4 linked regions of the Caenorhabditis elegans genome follow. The protein of the gene in region 2 purifies or fractionates together with the protein of the main gene of each other region. This does not show direct contact. Each region holds a gene or a part of one and is shown on either strand. Other genes may lie near its edges.

Region 1 (10,821 bases), on a different chromosome or scaffold from region 2:
AATGGCCAGCTATGAAATATATTGGCTATACATTAAAAAAAAAAACTTACTCAAGGAGGTACAGACAGTAACTGGATCACAGGTGTAAAGTGTGAGTGTCTGGTTTCCACCATTGTATGGTGCAGTGTAAGAAATTGAGGCGCACGATCCAGCGCAAGCACTGTAAGAGTCAGCTGTGACTGGTCCTCCATTGAGATAGATGGAAGAACGGCACAAAATCATTGGAATTCCAGTTGGCTGAAATGGTATGATACGAATAACTTTGATTATTTTTAAGCAATGAACTTACAACTGGAATAGTGTTTGTGGTGTTTACGGCAGCTTCCTTGACGTTGCAGTTGGTTCCGGTTGTGCAGCAGTAACCGGTGATATCCTTGTCTGTGGAGATGGTCTTACGCTCGTTGTTTAATCCAAGGGACTTGCAAATTGTCTTTGGAACGCAATGATATGACTTGTAAAGAACATTATTGACAGTTGTCTCAAGAGATCCGCAATATCCGTCACATGATACGGTTCCTCCAACGTTGACATTTCCGTCACTGGTGTAGACTCCGACGTAGCACTTGGCTGGTCCTGGGTAAGTGTTGGTGAGTGGGTTGAGGCATCCATCGGTGTCGCAGCAACATCCGGAAACTCCTGGCTCAACGGTTTGGCAGGAGTTGGACATGTTGAGCTGTTGGCAGACAGTTGTTGGGTCGCATGTCAACAAAGTTGCGGTGTGATTCTGGTTCTGGATGGTGGTAGAGATGGTGATAGATGCACAGTCTCCGTAACATCCTTGAAGAGTCAATGGAGCACCGTATGTTTGGTTGTTGACAAGGAGTCCCTGGTAGCAAGCAGTTGGGAAATCTGGAAGAACTGCTGGTCCTGGTTTCACATTTGGATCCTTGAGGTTGCAGTTGTCCGCGTTGTTACAGCAGCAGGCAGTGACTTCTCTGTCACTCCAAAGTGGACGACAAGTATCCTTAATCTCAAGAGATTTGCAGATAGTATCAGCAACACAGTGATAAGTAGTGACATTGAAACCTCCGACGATTCCAGTCAATGAAGCGCATTGTCCGGAACAATAGGTCTCAGCTCCGAGGCTCAACGAATTGTAGGTAGATTGTAGACCAACGTAGCACTTGAGTGGGTTAGGAGTACGTGGTGGAGAAACAGTTGGGTCGAGGCAAGCATCGGTAGAACAGCAGCATCCGGAAAGTCCATTCTCAATGGTAGTACAATTGTTGTTCATTCCAAGTTGATAGCATGTGCTGACTGGATCGCAAGTGTAAATTGTAGCGTTGGTGAGAGCTCCATTGTACATGGTTGAGAGAGTAGCAGAAGCGCATTCTCCCTTACATGCTTGCCAACCAGCGATGGAAATTGGCATGTTATTGACGTAAAGACCAGAGAAGCAAGCGATTGGATAATCACGGAAGTTCGTAACTGGCATTGAAGTATTGATCTTTCCACCATATCCAGCCAAATCGACGTTGCAGTTGTTGTAGTTGTCGCAGCAGCATCCCGTAACTGTGGTATCATATGGAAGTGGTTTGCACTCGTCGTACATCTCGAGTTGTCTGCAGAATTGGGTTGGCACGCATCCGAAGATAGCAACTGGGTCTTGGTTGAGGGTAGCTTGAATTGAGGCGCACTTTCCTGGGCAGAAGATTTCAGATCCAGTGGCCTTTCCTTGAGCGTAGATTCCAGCGAAGCACTTGCGGAATCCAGATGGTACAGTCTTGTTCTTTGGTGGATCAAGGCAGAGATCAGTGTTACAGCAGCATCCGGAGACTCCTGGGATTGGGGAGGCACACCAGTTGTTCATGTTGAGAGATTGGCAAACAGTGCTTGGGTCGCATCCGTAAAGAGTTGCTGTGGTGGCAACTCCGTTGAGTGTAGTGTTCAATGAGATGGACGCACATTGTCCCTGGCAAGCTCCGAGAATGACTGGAGTAGATGGAACACCGTTGACATAAAGTCCAGTGTAGCAAGCAATAGCATAGTCGACTGAAGTTGGTGGTGGTGGTGGAGTGATGGTGGTATTGGCAATGTTACAGTTGTTGGCATTGTTACAGCAGCATCCAGTGACTTGGTTGTCATTCCAAACTGGTTTGCAGTTGTCGTAGAGTTCAAGGGAGTTACAGATCGAGTTTGGCATGCAGTGATAGGTGTTGACTTGGAATCCACCGACAACTCCTGAGAGGGATGAGCATTGTCCGTTACATGGAATTTGAGCTCCAACGTTAACTGCGCTTCCATTAACAATGTAGTTCGAGCTGATACCAGCATAGCACATAAGTTGGTTTCCTGGGTTACGAGCTGGATAGACTGTTGGATCAATACAGGCATTGGTGTTACAGCAGCATCCGGTAATTCCGTTCTCAAGACTGGAGCACTTGTTCAGAATGTTCAAATTACGGCAAACGCGGGATGGATCGCAGGTGTAAAGAGCAGCGGTTCCGGCTTGTCCATTGAATTGAGATGTGATTGATACTGAGACACACTCTCCTTGGCAAACCTGCCATCCAGCTGAGCTGTAAGCGGTTCCGTTGATGAAAAGTCCGGAGTAGCAAGATATTGGAGCATCATTGAGTGGAGTGAGTGGGATGGTGGTGTTGATCACATTGGCAAGATGGGTCTGTTGAACGTTGCAGTTATCAGCATTGTCACAGCAGCAAGCTCGGAATTCTGGGTAGTATGGCTCCATGCGGGCGCAGGAATCGTAGAGCTCGAGGGAACGGCATAGAGAGTGTGGAACACAAGCGAAGAGGGTCACGTTGTCATTGGCAATGCGAGCGCTAACAGAAGCGCACTTTCCGTCGCAGAGTTGTTCAGCTCCGGTTTGAAGTGATGGCACGCTGGTAGAGTAAAGTCCAACGTAGCACTTGAGTGGTGGAGTTGGAACGGTCTTTCCTCTGTTCGGGTCGAGGCAAGCATCACTGTCGCAGCAGCAAGCGGTTACTCCAGCTTCTGGGGAAGTACAGTTGTTATGAACTTTAAGTTGGTAGCAGACAGACGATGGATCACAAGTGTAGAAGGAAGCCGTGTGCAAAGTTCCGTTGATCGTAGCATTGATGCTGACAGAGGCACATTCACCGAAGCAAACGGAGAATTCCATTGGAGTTTGGTTGAATCCGTCAACGATAAGACCAGCTGGGCAGGTGATTGGATATTCAACACGTGGACGTCTTCTTCCGGGATTGTTGATTGGAGGTCTTGGAACAACTTGATTCAAGTTGCAGTTAGGTCCATTGGTACAACAACATCCAGTGATATCTCTATCATACCAGAGTGTGCGGCAGCTGTCATAGACGTACAAGCTGTTACAGACGTATGCTGGGACACAAGCGTAAACAGTGACGTTAGCGTTGGCAAGTGTTGAAGTAACAGATGCGCAGTTTCCTTCGCAGTATTGTTCTCCTCCGGCATTGAAGATGGTATTTCCCTTCAAATCATAGGAGTAAGCTCCGACGTAACAGAGGTTTCCATCTCCATATGGTTTACGTGGTGGGGTGGATGTTGGATCGAGGCAAGCATCGCTGTCACAGCAGCAAGTCTCGAATCCTTGTTCTTGTTGGTGGCATCTGTTTGTTGAGTTCATCATTCTGCAGATGTAAGATGGGTCACACGTGTAAAGAGAAGCAGTGGTAGCAACTCCGTTGTATGTGGTGTTCAAGTTGACAGCAACACAATCTCCCTTGCAAGCAGTCCATCCTCCGTCAGAGATTTGGCTTCCTCCAATGAAAATTCCAGAATAGCAAGCGCGTGGCATCTCATTTGGTGCAAGTGGTGGAATGGTGACGTTGAATCCAGACGTAGCAACGTTGCAGTTGTCGAAGACATCACAGCAGTACGCGTTGACGAATCTGTCCAAGTAGAAAGTGTTGTTCGAGTTGTCAAGTCCAAGGGAACGGCACATAGATCTTGGAGCGCAATGGAAGGCGGTGACATAGTCGGATCCGACAACAGCGGAAACGGTGGCACAATATCCGTCGCAAAGAACTTCAGCTCCTGCGATGTTTCCCTTGTGCTGGGTGCTGATACCGACGTAGCATTTGAGAGCTTTTCCTGGAACACGGTTGTAGGTTGGATCAATACACTCATTGGAGTCACAGCAGCAAGCAGTGAGAGAGTTGTCAATGGTGGAGCAGTTGTTACGAAGTCCCATCGCGGCACAGGCACTGCTTGGATCGCAGGTGTAGAGAGTAGCGTAGTGAGAGTTGTTATTGACGGTTCCTCCAAGGGAAACAGACACACATTCTCCGTCGCACATGCGGTAGTAAGGCTGGCTGATGTTTTGTCCGTTGAGATGGATTCCTTCGTAGCAGACAATTCTTGGGTCACGACGAGCTGGGATGGCAGTGACGTTGACTCCAGCTGGGGCAAGACAGTTGTCAGTTTCTGAGCAGCAGCATCCAGTGACTTGTGGGTCAGCTCCTGGGATTTGTCCACAGTTTCCGTAAGATCCTCCGAATCCGAGTCCGAAGTAGCGGCACATTCCAACTGGGGCGCAGTAGTAGACAGTTGCGTTCTTTCCGTTGACAACAGAGTTCAAGGATCCGCACCATCCATCACAGAATTGGTCTCCTCCAGTGTTGTATTTGTCTTGTGGAATAGAAACTCCAGAATAGCAACGAAGTTGTGGGCGTTGAGATCCTCTGTTTGGATCAATGCAAAGATCATTGTCGCAACAGCAAGCATTGACTCCTCCAAGAACGCTTCCGCAAGAGTTGGAGATTCCGGCTTGTTGGCACATTGTGACTGGATCGCAAGTGTAGATGGTAGCATTGTGAACTTGGTTGGCGAAGGTGGTGGTGAAGCTAGCTGAAGCACACTCTCCTTGGCAGAGTCCGTAAGCAGAGTTGGTGATGGAAACTCCGTTAACCCAGATTCCTCCGTAGCAGAGAACTGGATACTTGGCGGTAGACACAGCAGAGTTATTCACACGTCCGAGAATGTATGGATTGTTAACGTTGCAGTTGTTGCTAGCAGAGCAGCAGTACACCTCAAGTTCCTCGTCTTGTGGTGGATTGTAGGTTTGTCCTTCAGTGGAAGCAAGTCCGAATCCAGCGCAGACATCGTATGGCATGCAAGTGAAGTATGAAACTTGTTGTCCGTTGGCATTGAACCTGACACGTCCACATCGTCCTTGGCAGTTCATTTCAGCTCCGAGCCAGGTTGTTCCATTGTAAAGTCCGACAGCGCATCTGAGCTGCTTGACTGGGTAGACTGGTGGAACAACAGTTGGGTCAATACATTTGTCCATGCTGTTGCAGGCACAGCCGGTGATGAGAGCGGTTGGGACTCCATTGATGTTTTGGGTGTCAAGGTTCATGCATCCGTTGTCGAGGTTCAAAGCAGTGAAGACGTTGACTGGGTCACAAACGAAGATCTCTCCCCATACATTGGCTCCATTGTAAGTGGTACGAATACGAGCAGATCCGCATTCTCCCAAGCATTGAGAGAAAGATCCTCCGTACAAGAGAGCTCCGTTGACGGAAATTCCTTGATAGCATGTCTGGTTGTTCTTGTTCCATGGAGATGGAGTTGGTGGGTTGTTCATTGGAGCGAGGCTAGTACAATCTTGCTTGTAACAGCAGCATCCTTGAATGTTGGTTCCAGCGAGATTGGTGCAGGCGATTGGATTATTTGGGTCAATATTTGGGAAGATGCTGTCGCAAAGTCCTTGTGGCATGCAAGCGTAGGCAGCAGCGTCATATCCGTTGTAGACTCCAGAAACACTGGTACATACATTTCCTGGGGAGCAAGTGACGGTGTCTCCTGATCCGAATCCTGGAGTAGTGTTGTTGGCATAGAATCCGACGTAGCAGAGGATGTTGCTGCAATTAATACATTCAATTTATCTTCACTTATCTTCTTTGATCTTCCTTCAGGGAAGTTTTTTGGTAATTGGTAAAAATGTACTATCAATCTCTTATCACACAATTGGTTAAAATATTTCCGAATTTCAATGCCGAGGAGCTAACTAGCCACGTTTTATGGTTGTGTTGCGTGCGTTATTGGCACAGTCAGATAAGAAGCGCGCCCAAATGTAAACCAATTATTCCATTATTGTTATCAGTTTGACGTTGACTGGCAAATTTACACACGTAACAGTTTGTGGTCAGGAATTGAACTAGGACAAAGTATAGTAAAAGAAAGTACAGTGAAAAAGTTCAATTTTAGACTATATCGCTGAAAAGTCATACTAAAAAAATAATATTATATAGTAAGAAGTTAGTGCGATTTCCGGAAGGAGTTTAAAAAATTTAAGGCTACACATATTTTTGATCTAAAAACGATGGATTTCATATAAACGTTAAACATTTGAATCGTACAAACTTGAAAATGTTTTAAAATTTGGAAAAAAATTGCTCAAAACCAATCGCTAAAGTTAAAAACAAATCTACGGGAGAAATTTCGACGTGTGTTTTTAGTTTCTCTAATATTCAAAATTTCGAAATATTAAAAAAAGTTTCAATTGGTCAAAAAATTAATCTGATTTTGCATCAGTTTTTCTCTTTCGCAGCTGTTATCAAAAATAGTCGTTTATCAAAAGTTACTATCAGAGACTTATGCAAACCTCAATTCCTATCAGTTGTCAAAAATAACAGTGATAACAAAACTCACTTTGGGGCATTAATAACTTCGATTGGCTTTGGAATATTTTCTTCCAAGTCGACCTTGTTACACAACTCATCCTCGCAGAAGCATGATGTCTCAAGCTCACTGCTGGAGCAATCCTGTCCTTTGTTAATGAAAGCCATAAGCTTGTTCTCTTCGCATGTCAAGAGAACAAGTCCTCCGCTTGGAGATTTGACAGTTTGTTTTCTGCACAATCCTTCGCATTCTCTCTGAAACAGTTAAAGTAAATATATAGAATGTATGTATATTAGATGGACGTACCAATTCAACAGACTTTGATGTAATAACATTTTCCGATACAATTAGATTTCCGACTAAGCAGTTTTGTTTAGCACTAGCGAAACTACAACAGCCGGCAAGTGCCAGCAGGAAAATGCCCAAGCGCATCTGAAATTTGAATGTGTTAGTGAATAGTAAGATCCTTAAAAAACACAGTAAAGCAAGGAAGGCTCTCAGAAATAAAATTTGAGAAAAAAATCAGTAGGGCTTCTTCGAGTAGAGAGAAGAAGTGAAGTGCGACCTGGCGAGATGTAAATTAAATAGAATGAGGCTCTTATAATGAACAGTCAAAATTGGTTCTTGGTCGCCAATCGGTCCTTGTTATACGGTAGTTGCCCTCTCTTGATAAGAGCACGAAGTGGGTGGAGTCTCAGAACCTTGGAGGCGAAACCTGTGAAGCAGGATACGAAATTAGTGATTTCTGCTGCAAGAGAAACAATGAGAAAAAGAAAATGAGCTTCAAAAAAGTAGTTGGAGCAGGAATTTTGGGTGTATGTGAAGCGTTGGCAAACCCAAATACTTAGTCATCCGATTTATAGCTGTAATCTAGTTTCAGCTATCTAACTGTCAATTCGTCATTTGGTTAACCAAATAAAATTTTTACTTTACTGTGGTTTGCATTATTTTTTATCAAAATCACGCTAGTTGTGAAATATTGAAAAATGGAACGAAGATAAGCCTGAAAATGAGTCACTAGCGGATTTCATTCTGGCGGTTTGGAGTGTAGTTTTTTGAGAAAAAAAAATAGATTCGGAGATGACTTATAATCTAAACTCAACATTTTAAATTGCAATATTACACATTTGAATATCCACCAACATTAATTATATCCTGCTGAAAACTCCGCGGTAAACTACACTACTCATTTTTGAATTTACTTTTTGCCTCATTTCACTCGTCTGGTTGTTATCGAAACTGATCATAAAACATGGCAGTTTGAAAACCAAATCAAAGAAATTCCAATATGTATCAATAAATCAAAATTCAGTCCTGGAATAGTCATTTTAATTAAAAACCTATAAACCTTATAATTTGAAATTTTTTTAACTGTTCAGATACTCCTTCGTAGATATTTTATATCATATCTGACACCTTTATGCTCTGGGAAAACATACACCTCAGAACTCTTTAGAAAGTTATATTAAACACACTCATATAAAAATAGAGTAAGGGTTTCAAGACCATGTCTGAGTCGAATGATAATTGAATTAAAATTTCAAGCACAAATTTGTCAAATGTACAAAACACACCTTTTGGAGCACTTTTACTTGGGCTGTCTAATAAGTATTTTTAAAAAGATGGTGCCAATATAACCAAACGCAGCAAGGAGCAAGTTTTAAATAACATAACTTTTGAAATCAAGGAAAAAAAATGTGATTTTCATATTCTATGTATTTGTGTGTGTGTGTCTTTTGTCTTTTTTTTTCTATCATATTTTTATATAAATTGTAAAAAAATTTGAATATGAAATTATTTTGGGAAACTTTTAAAGTTCTTACTAGTGAACCGTCAGAAGGTACCCATTGGACTTGCATATGAGATCTACGCCATTCGATAGCCCATGTCTTAAAACGGTTACTCGTGAATTTTTAGCTGCAAAACTCCAGAACCAAGCTCACGGCGGGCTCTCAATGATCCTAAAATAGCACTTTAACGAAGCATTGGAGGGCCAATTTTCCAAATTCACTTTGGTAGATCATATCTCCGCGGATAATTTTTTTACAGAAAAGTCATCAACTGATAAGTTGTTGATATTGTTGTAAAGAACAAGTTTGTAGTTGAAAGTTTTTTCCCAAAAATTTTTTGTTTCAGATAGAAGCGCGTGAAGTGCGGCAACTGTTGTTGTTATTGTTTTGCTGCTATTCAGTTTCTAATGCTTTTCTATATGAGCTGCCAAAGTGAATATGAAAACTTGCTTCGTTAGATCGTTAAAGTTCTTATTTACAGTGCTATTTTAGGATCTTTGAGATCCCGCCGTGAGCTTGGTTCTGGAGTTTTGCCGCTAAAAATTCACGAGCAACCGTTTTAAGACATGCACTATCGAATGGCATAAGTCTCATATGCAAGTCCGATGGGCACCTTCTGACGGTTGCCTAGTTAGAACGTTCTCAATAATTTTTGAAATTTTTTGCTCGCTTTGCTCAATATTGCAACAAAATCCCTCCTAAGGTGTTCAACTTTTTTTTAAATTTCACAAAAAGCCAACCGTTTTCAGATTTTTCTCGACTAACTCAATATTTCACTGCAACTTTTTCTTTTAATCAGAATAATATTTTAAAATTATGTCTATAACATATTTTTACCGCCCTACCTTTTAGTAAATCAAATTTTACTGTTTCACCTAATTGTATGCTTTTAAGTGTTTATATTTTGATTGTGGCTTTATTGTTTTCATGTGCTGTAATTTTGTTTCATGTGCTGTAAAAAGGTGTTGATAAATTGTAACACATTCCCAATTTTATTCCTAATAGAAAGTGCTTTTGGTCTTTCTTTAGTACGTTTCGTATTTCTTAGTGCGGTGCCCTTTGATGACAAATTGTATTTTTTTCGTAACAAATGATAGTTACAATAAAAGCACCACCTTGTTTCCAATTTTCGTAGTTTGTATTTTCACGTGATTTGTGTTGGAATCACAGTTTCAGATACGTTTTCAATTGTTTTATTCAATTTTCCACGAACCTATAAAACAGCACTCAAAACGGTGATAACTTTTTGCACGTGTAATTTTGATAATTGATGAGCGGTGGCAAGATACACTGTATCAATGTTTCATTATCAGGAGTAAAGTATTCCGGGAATGCTTGAATGCCAACTTGTAGCGACACGAATTTTCCAGCATTAGGACACGATTTTTCTCGAACTTCCCAGGATATGGAAACAAAAATTAAGTTTTAGGTTACAAATCACGCAGTAGCATCCGTTGACCAGGTTCAGAGTACATTATTTGAATGATAAACTTTTTAAAAATTAAAGAAATATAATAGTTTACTACTTTACTTTACAATACATTATGATCTTCTTTTTCGTTTTATCACTCCAAATTACTGCAGTTTTCAAATAATTTGAGATTTAGAAAGCAAAAATTTTCCGCGCATTTTTTATCGAAAATGTTTTTGAAACTCTTATTTTTTAAACAAAAAAATTAATTCGTAATTGGAATATCATTTAGTTAAATCAAGCCTTTTGAAATGTTTCAACCTATTATTTTTCCGACGTTTTATAATATACTGAAAAAAAAATTTTCTTTGAAAAATGTTATCGTGTTAATAATTTTTCTGAGACAGTTTCCCAACTCCATCTATTATATCATTCTACCAAATGTTTTTTTGGTTTCACCTAGATAAAGTCACGAATAAAAACAGGTCAAGCACAGATCATACCTGTTTATCAAAATAGTCTCTTTTTTTTCTGCTTAAATAATTGTTCTTAATTTTTGAAAGCCTCATGGTTAACGTCTTTTGTTTTGTATTTTTGTTTCAAAAAGTGCACAGAATCAAATTCAATTCAGAAAATTTTTTAAAATTAATTTTCCAATTAAAATCAAAGCCAAACTTGTTGTCGAAAAATGTTCAACCAACAAAATGTTGTTATTGGTTCGGTCTACATGTTTGCACAATCTACTCTTTTATCCCAATCATGAAAATAAATACAGAAGCGGACTTTTTATTTTTTGGCAATTGTTTCTGAATCACTAATAACTTAAAATGTATATCTTTTCATGGAAAAATTTTGGCAGTAGAATAAGCTTTATGGAAAAACGACATTTCATTTTTTTCAAAATTTCAGGAACAAAACACAAAAGTAATCTAAATTCATAAAAGTAAAGACTATTTTATAATTGTAATTTTGGCATGGAAAATAACGTTTAGATGCAAGTGCAACTCAGACATCATTGTTTGAAAAATGTTTGTG
Region 2 (6,095 bases):
TAATAAAACGTGATGTCCATTTTCCCTCATTAGGCTCAGAAATGATTATTTCCTAAGCCTAAAAATACAAAAACTCCCCACGTTTTTATTTAAAATTATATTTTTTCAAAAATGAGGGGAAATATACACAAGTACCAAAAAAAAACTCACACTAAGCTCATCATCGTCAATCGTAAATTCGTACGTCATTTTTTTCGACGTGGCAGCAGCAGTTGCGGTGGCGGCAGCCATTTCTGGCGATTTCTGAACAAGAAACGATGAGGGAAAGATGTCGTAAATTGGTAGAATCTCATAAAATCCGAAATTAGAGCGATTACAAGAGCGAGATAAAAAACATAAACGACGAGGCGAAAAAAGACAATGAAATTCAATAGAAAACCGGGAGAAATAGCGTGGGAGAGGCCGGAGACGCAGAGAAAATGTGGAGGAAAAGTGCGCGAAATAATCCGGCTGCTGCTGCTGTTTTGCCCCGGTTTCCTCCTCTATTGATTGAGAAATGTGCGAGAGAGTGTGGAATGCCGGAGAGACGCAGACTGTTCGATGGAGCGCAGCATGGCTAATCAAGTGGTGAGGGACGAGAGTCATGGGAAATTGGAAAAAAAAAGACAATTTTTTTTTGTTTTGTGCATTTTACAATAGAAATATGGGCCTTTGGGAGTTTATGACTGAAAAAATTGAAAAAAAGAACGATTTATTTCTATCTTTGCGACAAACTGCGGAAAAATTGGATTTTAAAAAATAATTTAAAAATTAAATATTTCCAAATTTGAATTTTGCTCATTTTTCATGTTAAATATTGCAAATTGCATGCTTTTATTCATTTTCTAGCCGCACAAAAATTCAGAGAACTCACACAATGCTCCTCTTCGTCAGTTGTAAATTTGAATAATCGTTTTTTCGACGTTGCAGTCATTTTGGAAAGTTTTTGCGAAGAAAATAAAATTAAATCTAACTTTCATTGCAAAAAAACAATTAGAGTTACGTGGAAAGTTGATTTTTTACTATTTCTCGTGAAAAAAAGTGTAACGAGTGGATTTTTCGTAATTTCTTGCAATTTTTCAATTAGAATTTAAATTTTCGAATAATTGTTTTGAAAAACTTAATGGAAAACAGGCATTTTGGCTGGAAAATAGACAAAAACGAAGAGAAAATGAAAAAAAATAATTCAAATAAATTTTGTGCGTCAAATAAGGTGCCCGGTCCGCAGCCACAGTGTTTGCACCGAACAGGAACTACAGTACCCTAAAATAGTATTTTCCTCGATTTCAGTTTTTGAAACTTGCTTTAAATGAACGAGTGGATATAAAATAGAAAATAAAGCTTTATTAAAAGAAAATAAGTGAAAATCTGATTAAGAATTTTCAAAAAAAAATCTTTTCCGAAGAATAAATCGAATTCCTTCACTATTTTTTCGAGATAAGAAGTTTTAAGAGAAAATGCCCTTTGGAACTAAGTAATGATTAAAAAGTATTAGGGGACGCTAAGCACGCTAAAACTGATGCTTCATAATAATAAACTATGAATTATCAACTTTATAGCGGTGACCTCTACCATTACTGCCGAAATTGCGCGTAAAATATGGCGCTTCGACTCAGTGTCTGCGAATCCATTTTTCGGAATTTAGAAAATAGAAATATTCAAAACCAAGGTTTATTGATATGAAATTTGCACAAAAATTCAAAATGTATCATAAAGAAAGAGTATTTTAAACCAAAAATTAAATAAATTAGTGAGAAACATGGGCGGAATGAACATGAACTCCTCCCTCGATCTCAATGAGATGGACTCCGTGGGATGGAGTACGCTCGACAAAGTCAGCGAAGTGGGCTCCGTTGACGAAGATCTGAAAAATATAATAGTTTAAAGATTAAGTTTCAGTAGGTGAACAGGGCTCGAAATCCAATGCTCATCAGAGATGGGAGTACGAAAAATCAAACTTTTCCACGTGGTGTCGAAGTGTCCCATTTTGGTGTGATCTTCAAAAAATGCGGCCGAAGAGGCGCTGACTTCTCAACTGATTTCGCATGATTAAGAGTGTGCTGATGTCACGAAAAATTCCCTCATTTTTTGTAGATCAAACCGCAACGAGACAGTCTGGCACCACGTGCTTTGCACGAACACAGTCCGCCTTAACATTCTTAAGCCCAGAATCCAACTAACCGAGATAATTCCACCGTTGGACACAAACTCCAGAGTGTAGATCTTGTTCTGCTGGAATGGATTGGCGTGACGATCCTCGGATTGCCAACCTCCTCCGCTGGTCGAGTTGTTCACAACAGCTCCCTCATCGAATCTAGCGTTGAAGTGAAGAACAATGTCGTCTGGAGTGCGAAGATTGATGTGGAAACGAGAATCGGCGGATGTTGGGAGAAGAACGAGACGGAGGCGAGCACCGTTGGAGAATCCTTGCACTGGGATGTTCACTGGGGTTTGTGGGTTGAAGAATTCGTTGCGGAAGCTGATTCCGATTCCTCCTCCGATCATGGTTGATTCTGAAATCAACTGTGTGAGTTGGGAAGGGAAACATGTTAGGAGCAATACTAAGACCACTATTCGTATAAAATGTACATCTATGAGAATTGTAAGCTGATTCTTTGGCTCTAAATCGCATGTTTTATCACTAGGTGATGTAAAATGTCTAAAGATCGAAAAGCCGAGTAGTTTGAAAGTTGATAAGAGCGTATGAAAAACCCTCGGCAAAGTAAACAATTCTCGGTGTCTACTGGGGGAAAATGTTCAACGAAAAAAAAATAGAAATTGGGCAATAAATGTAAACAATCCTCATCTATTTATACATCACAGAATGGGCGGATTCTTGCCTATGAGTCATCAAATACGATTCTAGAGAATTCCTTACTACATGAATCATGGAAAAAAAGGCTTGAGTACATTGTACACCTGCCATCGTCTCTTATAAGCAGTGTTTCTTATCAACTTATTGATGAGTTGGCATATGCTCCGCCTCGAACTATTTCGATGATAAGTTGCTTGTTTACTGAACTGAAAAAGGCTTTTCGATGAAAAATTCAGCCCGGCATAAAGAATGTCACGAGTTAGTTTGGAAATTAAGATGTGTGCTGATAAACGTCAAGAGAGGAAGTAGTGATAAAATTCTAGAGTTTTAACAAATTTGCAAAATCTCTGAATTGTTTTATTTTAGGAGTTTTTCAACCTAAATTCGTATTTTAGTTATTTAATTGTTCCTCGTTCCACACGTCACCATTTACAACCCTTATTATCGAAGTGCCAAGTTACAGGGAGAACTTGGTACATACCAGCTCACCAAGAAAAACCGATCAATAATGTAATAAAACCCGCTGACATTGAAGACAGAAGATACCGCAATTTTCTTTAATAGCTTGGGTTTTTATTAGCGCTAAACAATATATAACGTGGCAGTTTTTTTAATGCTGACTTATAAATAGTACTTTTCCTTTCAATGAATCTTCAGAGAATTTCAATGTGGCATTTTCTTAAAATCTTCCTCCGTTAAGCCATATTGCAATTGTATGTGGTAAACTTTCCAATACTATAAAAATTGAACTTTTAAAAACTTCTGAAACTTGAGTTTACAGTAACTTAAAGCTTAAAGGTGGAGTACCGAAATCTGAGACTTTGCTTTTTAGGCTCAAAACTACCGCATATCGTAATGAGACATCTTGAAAATTTCTCAACACGTTATGGCAGTTCAAAAATCTGGAAAAAGGTCCACTTTCAGCTAAAATCAAATTGTTTCCAACTTCTCGGTGTCGCTGCGTCTGGAAGTTAATTTGTATTTAATTACCACTTTCTAATAAATAATGTGATCGTTTAATGCGCATTTATTCGTTGGTTTAAGTACATTTTCGGCCAGTGGGGCACAAATAAAAGCTATGTTTTTGTGCCCCAATGACCGAAAATGCACTTTAATCAAACAATAAACTCCTAATAAAAAACCACAATATTTATCAAAGAATGAAAATTTTATTTTAGCTGAAAATGGGTCTGTTTTTCCAGAACTTTGAACCGCCATAATTTTTTTTTGCGAAGTTTTGAAAACGTCTCATTACGAAATTCGGTAGTTTTGGGCTATTTTGGGTCTAAAAACAAAGTCTCTGATTTCGGTACTCCACCTTTAAGATTTTCAAGTATACCCAGGAGCCACGTGTCCGTAAAAGTTCAATGATGGCATTTCCGGCTAGTAGTGATGTAATTTAGTCATGAAGCTGATTTTTTCTCCTCAATAATTTTGATGATTAATTATTGATAAGGAAAATGTCAAACAATTTGACGATTACCAGAAAGTTATTTTTCTACAATTCATGAATATCGGTTAAATTTGAGTAATCATTTTCTTCGTATGGAGCATGGGAAATTATTTAGACCTTTGCAAATTCAATTTTTTTTAAAAGCATTGTTAATTACCATCGTATTCCAATTTGATTCTAGACTACTATCAAACTTATTGAAGTGGTAATAATTTTTTCCAAGAATTTTGAACAACGTTTCTACTAGGGGTGTGCGTCAAATTTACCAAATTTGCCATTTGCCGATCTTGGTAATCGTTAGAATTTGCCGCACACAACAAAAATTGGACAATACAATTTTGACCAAAACTATTGATTTTGTTCCAAAAAAACTAGTAATATAACATAAAATTTAGATTTTTCCGAGTTTGTTAAGCAAGGCAAATTTTGAGATTTGCCGCACACCCCTGGGTTCTACTGGGTAAAAATGTAAATTCATTTATAAAACTAATACTATGGCTGAAAATTTTCTGAGTAATTATTCATAAGGACAATGTCAAAAACTTTTTCTAATACTTTTATTTTCATAAAAAGAAACACAAATCGGTTAAAATTGAGTAATCCAAGTCTTTTTGGCCTTCTTCTTCATTTGAATTTCATAATTTGTGATGTACACATGGAAGTTGGAATTTTCATCAGAACTTTCCAGAACGATCGGAGCCTCCACCATTGGATCCAAATAGTTTTCATCAAAAACTTTGGCAACTTCGAGAGGATTTGGAATATCAACATGGAAGCTACCTCTTTGCAATTTCGGGAAGGTGGATATGGTCTGGAAAATGACTACGCTGATGTGAGAGCGTATCACTGTGAAACTTACATTTTTAATCCGAGTAACATCCTGTTTATCGATAGAAACATTTCTCGAGTAAACTAAAATAGTTTGCAGCTTTTCCGCCGAAACCCTTTTCAAAACACTCCCCGTTTGGCCGATGGTGAATCCAGTGAGCCGAACTGTCTTCACATTGACCTCATACACTATTTCCAAATTGAAAACCTTCTCCATCGCATCAAAGAACAATTCCTTTTGCTCATCCTGAATCAACTCTGGAAGATCAATTCTGAGCAGATCGAGTTCAAGCTTCGGGGTTTTCAGCAAAACTGCCACGTTAGCAAGAGTGGCATTCAAATTGCACCCTGGTGGTGTGGTTGCTTCTCCACTTTCCGAATCCTTGCCTAGTTCCTGATCGAATTTCGAGAACTTAGTGCTACATGAGTCAGGTTTCACATTTAGCGAGTCCATGTCAATTATCCACTGATCACCGCGCTGATGAATTCTGATCTCCTTAATCCGCGTTTTGTCGTCACCGGTAGGATCAGAGGTAGAGCTGAAACGAATATTTTTTAGTTGTAGGAGTATTTAAGAATTTTAAAAAATACCAATAGGCAGTAGGGCTCAAATTTCTTGCTCACTTGTTTGTTACGGAGATGTGGTGGAAGGTACTTTGGAGCACTCCCTTCAGTTTTTTTAATTCCAATTTTTGGACCTTTTGCTGAAAAATTACCATTTTTGTTGATAACACCACTTAAATCACACCAACCTTCCCAATAACACTCATGTTTCTTGATCTCCGGCTCTGGCTGCGAACTCGCCGTGGCACCTTCGTCTCGACATCTCCAATTGGTGTCCAGTTCCGCGTTTGACTGCTTTTCCACGGGCATGACAGATTTGTATTATATGGAAATTCCGAAATGATAAAATATTGAATAGAAATCGATTTTCAAAAAAATCGTTCACGTGGTTCAGGTTTGAATTATTCTGAATTCTGAATGCATTTCGAATATCAAAGTCAAAAATGTACCGTTTTG
Region 3 (7,741 bases), on a different chromosome or scaffold from region 2:
TCGAGTTTATCAGTCATATAGATATCTCCGAGAGTCGTTTGTGACAAACTTCTGAGATAGTATGGGAACTGCCCGTTGTTTTCTGGTGTTGTACAAATGGATGAACCAACACCGACAAGATTAAGAGAAAGTTGGTACTGTTGAGATACGTCAAACAATTGAACGTAGGAAAGATCATTTGGCCCGTCTGAATCAGCAAATACCCAGACAGAAGAACGTCTCTCAGAAAGAAGTACGGCTCCAAGCATAGCTTGCTCAATTTGAATCTGGCAAGATGTCTCATCAGCAGCGTAGTTTGAGAAGTTTCCATTTAGATTGGTAACCCCAGCAACAAAGTCAGCTGGCCTAGCGGAGTTAACGAGCAAATATGAAGCTATAATTGAATATTACGACTGTTACCCTAATCAAGTAACATACTGTTTGAATTGACTGCGATCAAAATCCACTTATTAATCCATTTGTCAGATGCTTGTTGCATATCACGTGTCATTGCTTGAACATTGTCTGCAATTTTTTGAACAGCTACCTTCATAGTTGATCTAGTAGAAACAACAAAGGCAATGGATTGTCCATCGAATGAAACGTCAGGATTGTTGTTGAAAGTGGTGCACATGTCTGAAATATATAAGATCCCTATTTTAATTCAAATTTACACAGTTCATACATTGTTCGCAGAAAGTTCCAGCAGTTCCGACTGGGCAAACACACATTCCTCCTCTTGGTGTACCTCCGTTTACGCATTGAATATTTGTGCAACTAAATTGATATATGAACGTCAATCAAGTTTATGTTATTTTCACTTACTATTGTCCGTAAAAACCTGGTGGACAGATGCAAGTAGCGTTATTTGTTGGATCGGTCACTCCGCCGTTCTGACAAGAGTTTGGTGGATACGGTGTCGTTGGCGCTGAAATATGTACACGTTTCTTACTCAGTTTCCGACAAAAAAGTTAGCTATTGCGCCAAAAAAGTGATAAATACAATTTTTGAAGGCTTACTTCCAGAGCAGAAACCAGTGGTAGTTCTTTGGATGGTGAATCCCTTTCCATCGTCAGCATAGACAGTAGCATAGAATGGTTGAGACATGAAATCACAGAAGTCGGCAGCTCCAAAATACATATGGAAACCACATCCGTCTCTGTATTTTCCACTGGAGTAGTACATTGGTTTTTGGTATTTGTTGTCCACATTTACATTAGATGTAATGGAAATTTCAGAGAAAAGACGGAATGGATCGGCTACTTTGCCCTTAAGTCCTGTTAGTTGAGCAACAATGTGAGAAGATTGTCCGACGACTGGTTCCGAGTCACTAGCATCATCATTGACTCCGACGCTAGTTCCAATGAAAAGATCATATTCTGAGCGGGCTTGAACACGGTACGAGCACGGAGTATTTTGCTGCAAACAAAAACATTTCAATTCTTTCAGTTAAGCTATGTAGTGAGCAAAAAAACTGAATTATTCATTTCAATAGTACTTACCACATTTGACACAACTGTGACCAAGTGCTCACCAACAACGGGGTTTGAAATCTCATACAGTTGAGTAGTTCCACTGTCGACAATCTTCAGAAGAGTATTGGTATTTCCATTTGGATCTGTGACAGAAACTGTTAACTGTTGTCCGACAGCGAGAATCATGAGCTCAGTGGTTGAAGTGTCAACGAAGAAAACTCTCGTTGGAGTGGCGCAGCTAGCAAGATCGTCAATAAGTACCGAGTTCATTTTGTAGGCTGTTGCTTTGATCACGTATTGGAAAATCTGAACAAGCAAAATATGGTGTTGTAGGATAAATTGTAAACTAACTTGTTGCAAAGAGTCAACAGATGGTCTCAGGATAAGTCCTCCACTGTAGTAAGAAGCGTATTCGATGGCTTGGAAACCTTGGCTCATTTCATCAAATGCACAATTAGATTGAACAAAGTAGTGAGTGTATATCTGAAATTGCAACTTCTACTTATGTTAACATCAGTTATGTAGTACCGGGAACTTCATGCGAGTGTTTTGCTCAATGACGGTTTGCCATTTCTCGACATCACTAGCAGTTGCGTCAGTGAACAAATAGACTGGAGATTTTTGATAGAGAGCGACTTCGTTAAAAATAGAGCCGATCGCATCAAAAGTAGCATCCGAACATTGTCCAACAGCAGTTGAAGCTTGATTGATGGCAGCCAGGAAAGCATTTTGGTCAAATGCTGGGTAGTAGGTGTTGGTGTAAGCACCGTTTGCAAATTTAACAATGACAAATCCTTTGTATACTTCGTAGTTGTTGCCGTCGTTACTTGTTAGTTCTTTGTAGATAGCACTGGAGATCGCATTTAGGTTTTGATTCATCGAAACGGTGCTTCGAATGATAACAACCAATGTCTTGTAGTTGGTAAGATATTGTTCCCAGTTCAGTGGACAGGTAACTTGAAAGATATATTTAATATATAAATATAACTGAAACTTAACATACCATCTTGACAGTTTGTTCCATGGTATCCAGCAGCACATTCGCATAGATTACCGTCTGGATCTGGGAATCCGGCGTTCATACAGTTAACTTTTTCACATTGTTTTCCATTAAACAGCTCAGAGCAGAAGCATGTTTGGCCTTGGTTAGCAACATTGAGGAGTGTTCCATTGTTGAAACAAGTTGTCACCGGAGCTTGGGTCGTTGTTGGAGGAGCTGGTGATGTGAGAAGTTCTGAAAAAAGACTGATTGCAATTTGTAGTTAACAGTTATGAAACTAATAATTCTTGAACGCCTGAGCTCAATAAACTCATGACACTTTCAGCTTATAGAAAACTAATCATTCAAATAACAAAAGCGTTGTTGACTTACGCATGCATGAGAATCTTCCGGTTCTTCTGAAGTTAAATCCGTTGGCGTCAACTCCATCAATCTGAAAGAAAACATTAAACATTTTAATTTGAACTTCGTAGTACATGATAGAAGTAGGCATTTCCAAGTTGACATTGCCACTGTCCTGCATAGTATTCATACCCGCACTGATACCTGAAAAAATGAATGGGGAAAGTGATTTGCTTTTATAGGGGTGTTAATGTTTTCAGGAGATAAATCAAGTCTAAATGCTAATTATTTCCACAAATACAGTTCCCTACCTTCTTGTGAGAGCTGCTCTGTAGACTGGAGCCAAAGAATTGCCTTGGCGAATGGTGATAGATTGAACTTCTGCAATATAAAGATTTTGTTTTATATTTAAAAAACGAAACTAACGAGCTGGTGAATTGTCAACGTGAGCGGCCATATACATCGGAACACCGTTGATTGCAGATTCACCATATGGAGGGTCGTCTGACTGTGGAGAATACACAAATCCATCCACAGCTTTCAATCCGCTGGGGTCACCCTAAAACTGACTTCATGTGCTTTTGTATTGAAATTTATATGGAAATTACTTAAAATTGAAAACTATAAATTAAATATGCTTTATATAATGCTTTATATGTTGGAACTCTCGCAGTTTTTATAAATAAATGGCTGCTGGCACAAAATTTATAATTGCAAAATTAAAAATTGGTTGTTGGTTAATCAAAGATGGTTAATCAGAGATAAAAAACCTTTGTTTTATTTTATTTTTATAAAAACGTTTTTTTTTGCTAGGAAAACTACATTTCATAAAATAATCTGAATAATGACATTCCTTATCAATGTCTGAACTTTTGAAAACTTCCCGGTGCACTTGAAGCAAAATATAAGTTAGTATGTATGACATATACAATTCATTTGGGCAGTATGGAACATCGTTGTTTTAAATATAATTTGTTCTTAATTTTAGTAGACAATTCCAGGTTTTAAGAATTTCAGAAATTATGTAACTTTAGGTAAGGTTCTTTTGATGAATTCACTATATTATTCATTGATTTGATCTTTAATAACGACATGGTATACAGTATTTTTATAACGCGCCATTTTATTTCCAATTCCACGTTTTAATTCATTTTTAGCGCGCCCATTTTGATATGCCGAACTCGTAAAAATGTAGGGAGGCAACTCATGGTTATCAGTTTTTCATCTTGTTACGATGGCAAATGTTGAACATTTTGAATGAAAATGTGCGAAATGTAACTAGAAGGCAGACTACAAAATCTCACTTACATTAACTTCAATGATGCATTCGCTTGTTGGAACACCCTGGTTATCAATGGACAAGGTATATCCACCAGATGGAAGATCGGCGTAGACATTCAGAGAATAGCTATCGTCGGCTACGGAGTAAGATGGAGAAAATACAACTCCCTTTGCATCGGTCATATTCACATATGGAATTCCAGCAGCCGAAACATGGATTTGAATGGTTTGGGTAGGCTTGTTGCCTGTTGAATCGACAGGGATGTAAAATCTTGAAAAAAGAAAATCGTTTTGAAGCAACTAAATTAAAACTCATGCTTACGGTCCACCACAGCTTCCTTGGATAAACATAATCTCAATACTGGAAGTCTGTCCAGATGTTGGTGCAGGTTTTGGATCAGTACAGATTGGGTTTTTGCATCCATCACCAGTCCATCCATTTTCGCATTGGTTGGCAATTCCAAGAACGGCAAAAATCGCACGTTTTGCTCGAATATGGAAAGCATCAGTATTTGTTAGTTCGGGATAATAATTTGGTAGGTGATGAAATACGGAATCTGAAAAAAAAAGTTGTTTTTGTAAAATAGATTTAGTTTGAGTTACCAAGATTTGGAGCAGCTGCAACTGCTGTTACTAATAAAAATAAAGCCAGTAGGAGCCGCATCGTGTGCAGTGGCGACTCGAGCAGCAGCGGACTGAAACTGGAAGGGCTTGTCTTGCCCTATCGCATATGTAAGACCGTGAAAATTTTTTATTGTTTGATAAGCCAATTTTGCTATTTGCCCCGACGTTTTGCCGACTGCCACATTTTTGCCTTCAAGAACTAATATGGTTATCAAGTGATTGCACATGGCACCACGACGACAGGCGTGTATAACGATGGTTTTTTGATAATTCTGAATATTATTCGAATGAATAAAGATTATGAGCAAAAGTAAACGTGGGAATTTACTTCACCTTTAGATATTATTGCTCAAAGCAACATTTACAACAATGAAATGAATGAAAATATTTGGCTTAAAACATTAAGTCTGTTTGGAAATAACAACAGTGTAGTTCGGTCTACTGGCTTTACGTTTTACTTTGAATTAGACTATTATCATTGTTGGGAATGTTTACTTGTTGCTTGTGATTTTAAAAACGGTTCAGTTTTCAAGTAATCAGATCGATCTCGGAAACCCTGAAATGCAGATTTGTCATGGATATGTATCAAAACGAATGCTATGTGGTTAATATGTTGTACTAATTCGGTTAATATATAAACTTGGTTGTAATAATTCTAAACGCTCTTCGTGCATACTTAGATGATTTTTTGAGATCGTAGCATTTTAATTGACTTTTGAACAGATTGTAGTTGTTTTTTTATAAATTTCAAAAATTTTGTAGAAAGTATTAAATAGTGTAGGGCAGAGAAAGAATGTTATGAAAAAGATTGTTTTATATTTCTTTGTGTTTTATACTAAAATTTGCATAATCACAGTGTTCCTCGATATGTTTGTGCAATTATGATAGTTCGCTTTTGATCGCATACCGACTCGTTGGAAATATGTAGTTTCCTGATATGATTCAATTTCTTATCAGACCTATCAATTTAAAATTGCCAACAAATTAATTTACGTAAGGAGTACACACCCAAAATGGAACTCAAGTCAAATTTTGTAGCAATGTTTTGAAACAATTTTGTAAAAAAATGCTTATTAGAAACATTGTCTAAAAATATTTAAAAATTATTTGGCTAAAACTAAATATTTTCCGCTCAGGCCGACTAACATCAACCGCACCATGGAAAGAATCAAATATCTTTGTTTATAAGATATAATTTGTGTACCTTCAACTACATATGAACACACCCATGTTCGAAAATGATTACATTACTGCTGGCACTAAATATCTGCAAATGCAATTTTTCAATTATTTCTGAATCAGTAATAGTGATTTCATCAGGTCAAGTGAGTGTCGTCTGTGAAACTATTGAGATGAGTAAAAGAAAATTTAAATCTTACTATGATAACGAGGATTATGTTCCGGAACTCAATGAACTTAACTTAACTGAACGTTAATGAACTGTTTTGAAGATTGCACTTAAACTGTACTGAATACAGTTGCTCGTTTCTTTAAACTAATCTTCCGATTAAAATAGTTTTGAACTCTTGAATAACATACCGTATTTCCTCTATTAGTCTTGCATGCGAAAATAATTTTCAATCGTCACATAGGGGTGCAAGACTAATAGAGGAAATACGGTAATAGCGTAACAAGCATAACAAATGATTGAAAAATTGGATTTTTGGCTAAAACTACTCCTGTAGAGCCGAAAGTATCGAATATCGTACTAAAACTGGTCAAATCATTTTGAAATGTTTATATTAACAGACAAAAACGACAAAGAATGAGTTTGTACCAACCTTTGTAAAAAGAAAAGCACAGTCCCCCACAGTGTTTAAACATAAATGGTTTAGAAATGTGAACAAAATCATTTCCAATTGTTTTTTCCACATTTTTAAAATATTTTCAGTCAAAAACGTGTTTGCGTCGCTTTTCGACTACAAAAAAACAATGTTTTAAACGCTTTTGAGAACTTTTACTATAATATTTTCTAATTTTAACACCATTGTAGTAAGCTTCGATAACTTCTCTACTGACGCTACTTCACCTTAGTTGAGCCCAAAAGTACCTATGCTTCCAATAAAGCATAGCAATGCTGATATCATAGTGATTATCAGTTTTTGATTTTCTGAACAACTTTGCAAAGCTTGTTGAGACCACACATAATATTTTTACACATTTACAATGGGCATCAAGTTGTTTCATTAAATTCGCATCGTTATCACACTTACACCGCAACGGAAGCTGATATGGATCTGTAGCAAGTTCAACTAACAAATTATCATCTTAAGTGTCACTTTTCAAAATTTCCGTAGCTAGTGTAATCCCATCGAATCAGCTGTTCGATCTTTCAATTAAAGCTCGTTGCTATCCTTTCCCTTTTACGCACCCGTCAACCTCTCATTTTCTCGACGTAAGACCAAAAAAAAATGATGGGAGGAGTTACTGACGATGAGTAAAGAGAACTTGCCTTTTCGCAAGTTGACGGCCTCCAGTGACGGCGCCCGCATTTGACGTTACCCCTTGTTTGCAAAGTCTACGGAATCCTTCCGTGTCTTAAGAAGTACTTCCATACGGTTTCACACATCTGTTTTTGTGATTTATCCCATTGGGTTCTTAATCACTGATCATCTCCCTCAATCGTCTTCATGTGGAACACCGCCAACCAGCATGCTTATCCGTAGAAACGTGTTTCTTTCTATCTTATTTCTCCTAATAATTGTTATTGATAGCAGGTGTGAAGAAGAAGAGAATCAAAAAGGTATACATAATTAACAATTGGCCACGAATAAAAATTTTTTAAAAATTATCTTAGTTAGTTCATTTATCTTTTTCCTTACAAAAGTCTTACTTCCTTCCTCGTTTCCTACATCCATTTACCTACTTGTGTGTTCTTACCACTTTCTGATATTCTTTTTGAAGGTTATTTTTCTGTTCAACAGGTCTAGCACAGAAAAACGTGTGATAGATATGAAGAAGAAGTCAAAGATGAGACAAGTGTGAACATCTTTATCCGGATGTCTTCTTTTTATTCCTTTTGGTGGCTAATGGCTAGAGT
Region 4 (7,910 bases), on a different chromosome or scaffold from region 2:
TTTCTACATTTTTTCTCTGAATTCAATGTTAAGTAAACCTTCTTTTCATGTTCTCAAAATAATTGTAATAAATATTTGTATGTCGTGCAATGTCAACATTCAACGATCGTTCAAGTTTTGTCGGTATTCTTCGCTACCCGTTACTCAGAAATAATTGTTTCAGCGAAAACGATCCACAAAACCCATTATCATCTAAAATGGGCCTTTTTTGACGTGATGGTAAATATGATAACACAGACAAACGGGCTAGTTCGTAGTTTTCCATTTTCGTATAAATTCGAAATCATTTTCAACTTTCGTGTCTCATTTTAAAATTTAAAACAAAACAAAAATCTGAAGTTAAAACTTATTACTATTTTTTAAAAAATTTCTCACTCTCCCTTTTACCTTTTCACCTCGAAAAGCAGCTGCCAATGTGCGAAGAGAGCGAGTGTTGGCAGTGCATTGAGGTGAGGCAGAGCTTTGTGGGTTTTATACGCTTTTTGCACATTCAATTTTCTATTTGAAGATTGATCTTCTTATCTCGTAAATGTATAAGCTACTGAATTATGACTTTATAATTCAAAATTTTTATTTGCAGACTTATAATAAAATTCAAAGAAAAACACCTTACTTTGTCATTGAAACTCAATGAAAAAATGGTTTAAACTTCTTCAATTAAAATTTCAAATAATTTTACATTTTCCAACTTATTAAGTTGAAAGTAAAATCCAAAAGTTTATCTTTTTCATATGTACTTTTCACGACAAACTTCCTTAATGAAGTTCAACACCAATAAAATTTAATTTGAAATCTTTCGTGTTCGACCGCGCCCATCATTCTTTCCAGGTGATTCGTTTTTTGTTAGACGAATCAACCTGACTCATACATATGTCTTGCAATAAAAAAATTTCTATGACGTTATTAAACATCAAACATAAATAAATGAATATATATTTTAATTGAACTTGTAAGGGATTTAAGTTTTCGTGTTAATTTTTTTTTGAATTCTTGTGTTAATAAACTATTTTTTATACTTCCGATTTTATTTTAAACAAAAGCCACCACGAGGTGGCCGTCGTCACCTGCCTCTTAACACATGTGTTCTCTTCTCGTCTCCTCTCTTTCCCGGCTAGTCACATTAGTTTCGTATGTACAAACGACGCTCCGCAACGCTAAACAGAGGGCGATTGTTTTGAATAAACACAATTTGCGCGCGGTTATCCTCCGTGTTTTACTAACCAATGCTCATTGTTCTTTCTGTTTCTGCTAGCCTCTTATTTATTTCGGTGTCATGTAAGTGATTTCTTGTCTCTTCTTCAATTCCTTCAGTTTTTTCTATATTATTCTTCAAACGTCAAAACTTTTTTTTCAGCCACCGCAAAATGAACGATCAGCAGACCAACAACGAGTCAGACCACACGATGAGTAAAAGTGCCAAGAAAAGAGCCAAGAAGCAACAGCAGCAGAAAAGAGCATCCGAGAGTAACGATGAAAAGAATAGCCCAACAAAAAGCGATGCAGAAAATACCGAAGCAGTGAGCACACCCGAAAAAGTTTCCGATTCAGTTGAGCCAGAGAAGCAGGATCAAGTTGATCAACTGGTGCCATTGATTAATAAATTTGACGTGAATGGAAAAGCACTGAAAACAATTGCCGGTCATGGGACAGTTCATTTGGGAGAAATTACGCCGCACAACATTTTGGTGAGAATTTATTAATTTGTTGAAGGAAATGTATGTTATGAAACGAACTAGAATTCATAATATTAAATGAAACCCATATTTTCTCGATCAATGTGAATATGATGTAGCCTTAATTTTTGCGTCTTAAAAAATTGAATATTACTCTTGCACGCAGTGAATGTGAGCCCACTCAATAAAATTCTGTTCCGATTTATATATATTCTGTGAATGGCTAAAAAAGCAAACCTAGGCCGACTTTGCTGTTCATTTTTGAAGCTTTCAACATTGCCCTGTATTCTGTACCTGTGAAAATTGTGTAAATTGGCATAGAATGAGCTGTTAAAATACGTTGTAGCCTACCGAGCATGTCAGACAAGTAGTTGAACTCAAAGTTTGCTGAAGCACACTCAAAGTTTGCTGAAGGTCTTCACTCACTCTTGAACCAAACAGATGATTTTAACCTCCACCTTTTAAATTTAATTTAGCCTTCCCATTTTCATCAGTAAAACGCGATTTCTGAAATCCTATTTGTTTTTCAAACCTCAACAAAAAATACACGAACTTCATAAAACTCGAAACTCGATTTTTCAATTTACTATAATTTCAGCAACTGAAAAAGCTCAATGAAGATGTCTTCCCAATTGCCTACAACGACAAGTTCTATGTGGAAGCTCGATATTGCGGAGAACTTGGACGTCTTGCCTACTACAACGATGTCGTCGTGGGCGCCGTGTGCTGTCGCATTGACGATATTTCAGACGAGAAGTCGTTGTATCTCATGACACTTGGAACCCTTGCCGCCTACCGACAGTGAGTTTTGAGTCAGATCAAATTTACCTTATCAATGACGTTTTTTTGGTACAGTTCTACCTGAAAATGACGGTTTTAATAGCGTTAATTATTATACCAAGGGCGTTTTACGAGGTAATAAAATGTGCTATTTCAGAATCGGTATTGGTACAATTCTCATCGACTACGCATTAAAATTGTGCAATAAGATGGAAGAAATTAAGACCATGTACTTACATGTGCAGGTATCCAGAAAAAAGTGGATCTGAAAAAAAGTAATTTTCCAGGTCAACAACAAAAATGCGGTGCAATTCTATGAGAAGCATGGCTTCACCAATGACGGAATTATCGAGGACTACTATCGTATTAGCCCAAGAGACGCTTACTTGCTCATCAAACGAATCCGCCACTAAACTAGAATAGCTCATTTTGATATACAATATCTGAACTGTTTCCCTTTTCAAAATTACTTTATTTTTATCATAGCGACTGGTGGCATCCAAGCCTGGTCTGCAAGTTGGATCTCTAGCCATTGACAATTGCCAGCATGGTTGTTTTGTCTTCTTTCCCATCTTCAAGCATAACCGTGCCTACCCGTATGAAAACCATGTCTGTTTGAGATTTCCCATTTTTTCTATGCTTTATTTCATGTATCATCATTTTCAATTCTATTGACTTTTTGTTTTTTGGTAACTCTGGTAATTCGATTGTGAATTCTAAATGTCGAGGTTCTTTTATTGTCCGAGCAAATTTTATGTTTTGAATTTTGACTCATAAAAATGTAAGGCGTTTTATTGTTAACAAGAACATGAAAAATCAGGAGAGCCCGGGGGAAAATTTTATTATGCCCTTATGCATAGCATTGAAAGATAAGAAGTTGCCACGATGTTACGAGCGTGCCCAACCCATTTTCTTATTTAACGACTTTGATTGCTATAAGGTTTTCTTGATAGTACTTTTAGTCGCATTACTCCAGTGCTTCTTTTTCATTTTAAGCTGTTGATAATACCCCTTCAAGTTTGCTTCCAAAAAAACTAATATTTTTTATTTAGAAATGAGGAACTGGGTTTTGATTGCGGCCCTGGCCGTGATCTGCCTGGCGACTGAGCAGGAGCTCAGTCACAAGGACAGAATACGCGCGGTTTTGAGATCATGGAGTCCGGCATCGCAGAAGCAGTTTTTCGAGCCAGTCAGAGAGCAAAAGTACAGGACTATGGAAGAAAGGGTTATTTTTGTAAGGTCTAGCAAACAGGTGCGATTCGAATTTTTAATTTCAGTTGGACACCCATCATATTTCCAAAAGATCCATTGCTGAACCACACGTTTTGGCTGGAATGGCTACTCGAGGATGCAACAAGCCAGGGTACACCGGTGAAACTTGCCAATATCGTGAGTTTTAAGATTTATATTTCTAAAATGTTCCATGACGCAGAAATTTTTCAGCCCTCTGTTCTGCTCGCAACCCGTACATTCCGAACAACGACGGATTTGATGACATTGCAATTGATGCTTACAATCTGGCTAATTGCTCTGAATCATACATCGTCGTCGTTGACGAGACGATGCGGAATATCAAAATTGAAGTCGAGACGGCGTCAGCATTGAACCCAACATTCTATCTTCAAGCTGAAAATGGAGATCTCATATTCCCAGACGAATCCATTCAACTTCCAACAATGTTCACTGCAAATTATTTGCATCTGCCTCCCGGACAATATATGCTTGGACCACGAGCCGACACCAGCGAGCAGTTTTGTACAATGATGATGTCATCCCGCAGTAGCATTCATGTTTCCGGTGGATTCACTTCAGGAGATCAAGCCGAGCGTAGTGACTATCCAAATCTCAAGTTTACATATTTCGATACTGAGTCGGTTGTTGCAATTCATGCTCAAGGTTTGGACTTTCCTGGTCAAATCCAAGCAATTGGATTTACCGGTGCCGAGAACCACATCTCAAGATACATTCCAATGACAACCCGTTTCAACTGTACTTATCCATACATCTTGGAGAGATACACTTGCAGAAAAACCAGCAATAACGATGCTGGACACAATCTCATTCAAGTTCGATTGAACCAAAGGTGCTAAACATTCAAATTTTTGTTTTCAGGTGGAGGGTGTGACTAACTCTGGCTACAAGTTCCGTCGTATTGTTCCTTACCAATGCGTCTGTGAGTTTCTTTGTAGTGTATATAAGAAGTTTATATAAGACTTTTAAGAAAAAGTACCTTTTCAGTACCACCAGTAACAACTACTACCCCCGCTGTCCCGACAACACCTGCAGCACCGATAACTTCTTGTCAAAACGGAGGGCAGTTGCTTACTGACTCTAATGGAGTTGCATATTGTTATTGCTTTGGACTTTACTCTGGAAGTACTTGCTCGCAAATGCTCTGTGCTAACGGAGGTACAATTCATCCTTGAAATTATATATTTTTTATAATAACTATTAAGGTTTCTTGCCGACTCCAACCAGTGACCGTTGTCAATGCCCAGAAGGATTCAGTGGCTTCCATTGCCAGAATAGTATGCACTAGTAAAAATTATCTGTTAAAACATAATAACTTTGCAGTCTTGTGTACCGACATGTCAGGCTTTGACTTCAACGCTGAAAACCCAACTCTCACCCTTGTCATCCGATCAAGAAGCCAGCTCTCTGCAGTTATTGAACAAGCAACTGAGTCTGTTCAAAGTATTGTTGATCTTCTCGCTAGTGAACCTGGATATCTATCAAAGTTCATTGTTGTTCTTTTTGATAACGGAAGTGAGTTTTGATCTAAAACATATTTGACATGAAAGTGTATTATTTCAGAGCTCTTGGTGAACAGACAATATGATTCATGGGACGCTGCAATGGTCGATCTTACAAAAGCTATCCATTCCGCTCCAAGCGAAGGAGGATGTGATGATGTTGTCATGTCTGCTGTTGCGTAAGTTCACTGGTATGTAATAATGTTTAAAAATGCTAATTCATTACAGATCTGCACTTTCTCTCTATCCAACAAACAAATCCCCGATCTATGTGATTACGGACGCCACTCCAAATGATAGTGCTGAGAAGGAAACTGTGTTCCATCTGGAATCTTATTGGAGAGCACCGGTAAATAACATGAAAGCAAATAATGTTGACTCTATTTAAATTTCAGATCTACTTCATTTACGTTCAACCATCTCCAGCCGATGGATGTAACTCATCTCCAGATAACTCTGCATATAGAGATATGGTGGACATGGCTGCTCGTTCAAGTGGTAACACTTTCTATTTCAGCGACAGAAGCACTATTTCGACCGTAAGTCACTTCACTTTATATCTCCCATATCAATTAACTTTTATAGTTCTTCTACCGACACATGCTTAACACCTTGTTCCGATCCCAACTTGTTCTTTCCGGAGATTACTCACACTGCTCCAGCCAGAATCTGTACAAGTCAGCTGCCTTTGATCTTAGCGTTGACTACGTTACAATTGTAGCCACTGGAACAAATTTGACTCTAGTTGTGACAAGCCCAACAGGACAGTATCCAACTTTCAACACCGCCTTTTCTGATGGTGTGAACTATGTTTGGACGTATAACTCGCCAGTTGCTGGTCAATGGTTCTTCTCTATCAGATCACTTGAACCAGAAGCAGCTTGCACGTTTAAGGTTTATCAGAAGAAGTTCAACTTTGGCGGACAAACTCAATACAGCCCCGACTATGATATTTTCTGGTCATTCGCTTCTACTCTTACTTCGGCAGCAGGAGTTCTACGTCAGCCAGTTCTTGGATTTGATTCATCTCCAGTTTTCCATGTTACCAACTACCCTCAGTTCCTCTCAATGGACCGTGTGCATGCCAATCTTCAGATTTATGCTATTCGTGACGGAGTTCAAACCGAGGTTTACGGATCAAGTGGAATGTACAGAGATGCCTGTGAATTCAACTTCTACTTCCCACCATTCACTTGCCGTGTTCCAGAAGAAGTTCTTTACTTCAATTTCTTTGCTCGTGATAATAATGACATGGCTCTTCAACGTGCCGGAACTATGTTCTGTGCTGCCGTTCATCCTACCCCGCCACCAGATCATCAATGCCAAAATGGAGGAGTAATGAACCCATCGAACACCACTTGCTTCTGTACTCCGGAGTTCACAGGAACGTACTGTCAGAACATTATTTGTTACAATGGAGGAACAGCTAGCGGAGATCATTGCGTCTGCCCACCTGGTTACGCTGGTGAGAGCTGTGAGATGGCAAGATGTATTGAAACAGGACCAAATCCTGAATTCATCCGTTATGGAGTTGACATGGTGTTTGCCGTTGAAATCACTCAGAATTCTATTGCTTCACTTTCCATGCTCAATATCAACTTCCAAGAAATTCTCCGCGACGTTCTCATGCAAAATCGTGGATGGATTAGAAACTTTGTTCTGGTCGGTTTCAACTCTACATGGGGAGGACCAATTGCTGAATCACCAGCTGATAACCTCACTGCAATCACCACTGCTCTTCGCACTCTTGCTTCTTCAGTTCCAGCCGATACTGGATGTACTGTCAAACTTTGGGATGCTTTGAATTATGCCATTTTCTCCAGACAAATGGCACCGGGATCTTTTGTAGAAATCTTCCAAACCACTCCAGAAGATGATACTGATACTCGTTCGCTTGGTCTTTTCTATGATATGTCTAGAACAATGGAACTGGTTCTTTACGGTTTCTTGACTTCAAATCCACGTTTACAACCGGAAGGATTTGTTTGCAACGCCACCGTCGAAAACTATTATACTCTTCTCGGAATTGTCAGTGGATCTACCGGAACTACTTATAGCCTGCAAGCAAATGAAATTTCTAATGCTGTCAGACTCATTCCACTTCAGTTCTCTAACGGACAAGTCACATTCAACGCATTGGATGATTGTAGACACGACGATGGACTTATTACATACTTCCCTGTTGACGCATACACTCAAACAATTCAAATCCAAACATTTGGTTATGGAACAACTATCCAAGTGTATACTGGTGCTGGTGTTATGGCAGAAGCTTTGGAACTTTTCTACGATGACTTTACCGGTCAAAGCGTGTACGAAATCAGAAAGGCTTGTGACGAAGGCTGGGAGCCAATTGGACAATACTGTATCAAGTTTATGGCAACTGTAGAAAACATTCTTCCGATGCCACAGGCTAAGGCTTTCTGTGCCTCAGCTGGTGGATTCCTCGTGGATGATCTCACTGACGACAAGAATGGCTTCTTGAAATCAGTAGCTGCAAACACTCAATTCTGGACCGGACTCTTCAAAAACAATGATGGACAATTCTATTGGGATCGTGGAACAGGAATCAACCCGGATCTTCTCAATCAACCAATCACATACTGGGCCGATGGTGAACCAAGTGACGATCCAACACGTCAATGTGTATACTTCAATGGAAGATCGGGCGATGCTAACAAAGTCTGGACAACTGATACTTGTG

The links.
Region 1: the proteins of lec-6 (region 2) and bcf-1 purify together in Caenorhabditis elegans (affinity purification with mass spectrometry, with the first as the bait; one large-scale study listed by BioGRID). This does not show direct contact.
Region 3: the proteins of lec-6 (region 2) and hrg-11.3 purify together in Caenorhabditis elegans (affinity purification with mass spectrometry, with the first as the bait; one study listed by BioGRID). This does not show direct contact.
Region 4: the proteins of lec-6 (region 2) and irg-7 purify together in Caenorhabditis elegans (affinity purification with mass spectrometry, with the first as the bait; one study listed by BioGRID). This does not show direct contact.

What each region holds. Positions count from the first base shown.
Region 1 is NC_003283.11:6,401,767-6,412,587, forward strand, and holds the start of bcf-1 (bacterial colonization factor), read right to left. Parts: upstream 7,018-10,821; coding exon 6,892-7,017; intron 6,840-6,891; coding exon 6,616-6,839; intron 5,826-6,615; coding exon 290-5,825; intron 238-289; coding exon 51-237; intron 1-50.
Region 2 is NC_003281.10:597,875-603,969, forward strand, and holds lec-6 (Galectin), read right to left. Parts: upstream 2,493-6,095; 5' UTR 2,485-2,492; coding exon 2,161-2,484; intron 1,844-2,160; coding exon 1,727-1,843; 3' UTR 1,636-1,726; downstream 1-1,635. Other genes in the region: Y55B1AR.2 (Flocculation protein FLO11), read right to left, coding at 151-243, 854-913.
Region 3 is NC_003284.9:11,495,109-11,502,849, forward strand, and holds the start of hrg-11.3 (C-type LECtin), read right to left. Parts: upstream 4,892-7,741; 5' UTR 4,742-4,891; coding exon 4,681-4,741; intron 4,635-4,680; coding exon 4,400-4,634; intron 4,349-4,399; coding exon 4,105-4,348; intron 3,356-4,104; coding exon 3,223-3,355; intron 3,178-3,222; coding exon 3,108-3,177; intron 3,001-3,107; coding exon 2,931-3,000; intron 2,888-2,930; coding exon 2,827-2,887; intron 2,689-2,826; coding exon 2,458-2,688; intron 2,411-2,457; coding exon 1,983-2,410; intron 1,938-1,982; coding exon 1,806-1,937; intron 1,761-1,805; coding exon 1,482-1,760; intron 1,399-1,481; coding exon 999-1,398; intron 908-998; coding exon 805-907; intron 757-804; coding exon 665-756; intron 616-664; coding exon 418-615; intron 374-417; coding exon 1-373. Other genes in the region: F29G6.1 (Kazal-like domain-containing protein), read left to right, coding at 7,354-7,444.
Region 4 is NC_003284.9:3,239,222-3,247,131, reverse strand, and holds the start of irg-7 (Protein irg-7), read left to right. Parts: upstream 1-3,495; 5' UTR 3,496-3,507; coding exon 3,508-3,687; intron 3,688-3,730; coding exon 3,731-3,842; intron 3,843-3,896; coding exon 3,897-4,519; intron 4,520-4,565; coding exon 4,566-4,626; intron 4,627-4,691; coding exon 4,692-4,862; intron 4,863-4,909; coding exon 4,910-4,981; intron 4,982-5,027; coding exon 5,028-5,219; intron 5,220-5,267; coding exon 5,268-5,385; intron 5,386-5,434; coding exon 5,435-5,555; intron 5,556-5,601; coding exon 5,602-5,745; intron 5,746-5,791; coding exon 5,792-7,910. Other genes in the region: F40F4.7 (N-terminal methionine N(alpha)-acetyltransferase NatE), read left to right, coding at 1,365-1,685, 2,272-2,474, 2,611-2,698, 2,741-2,866.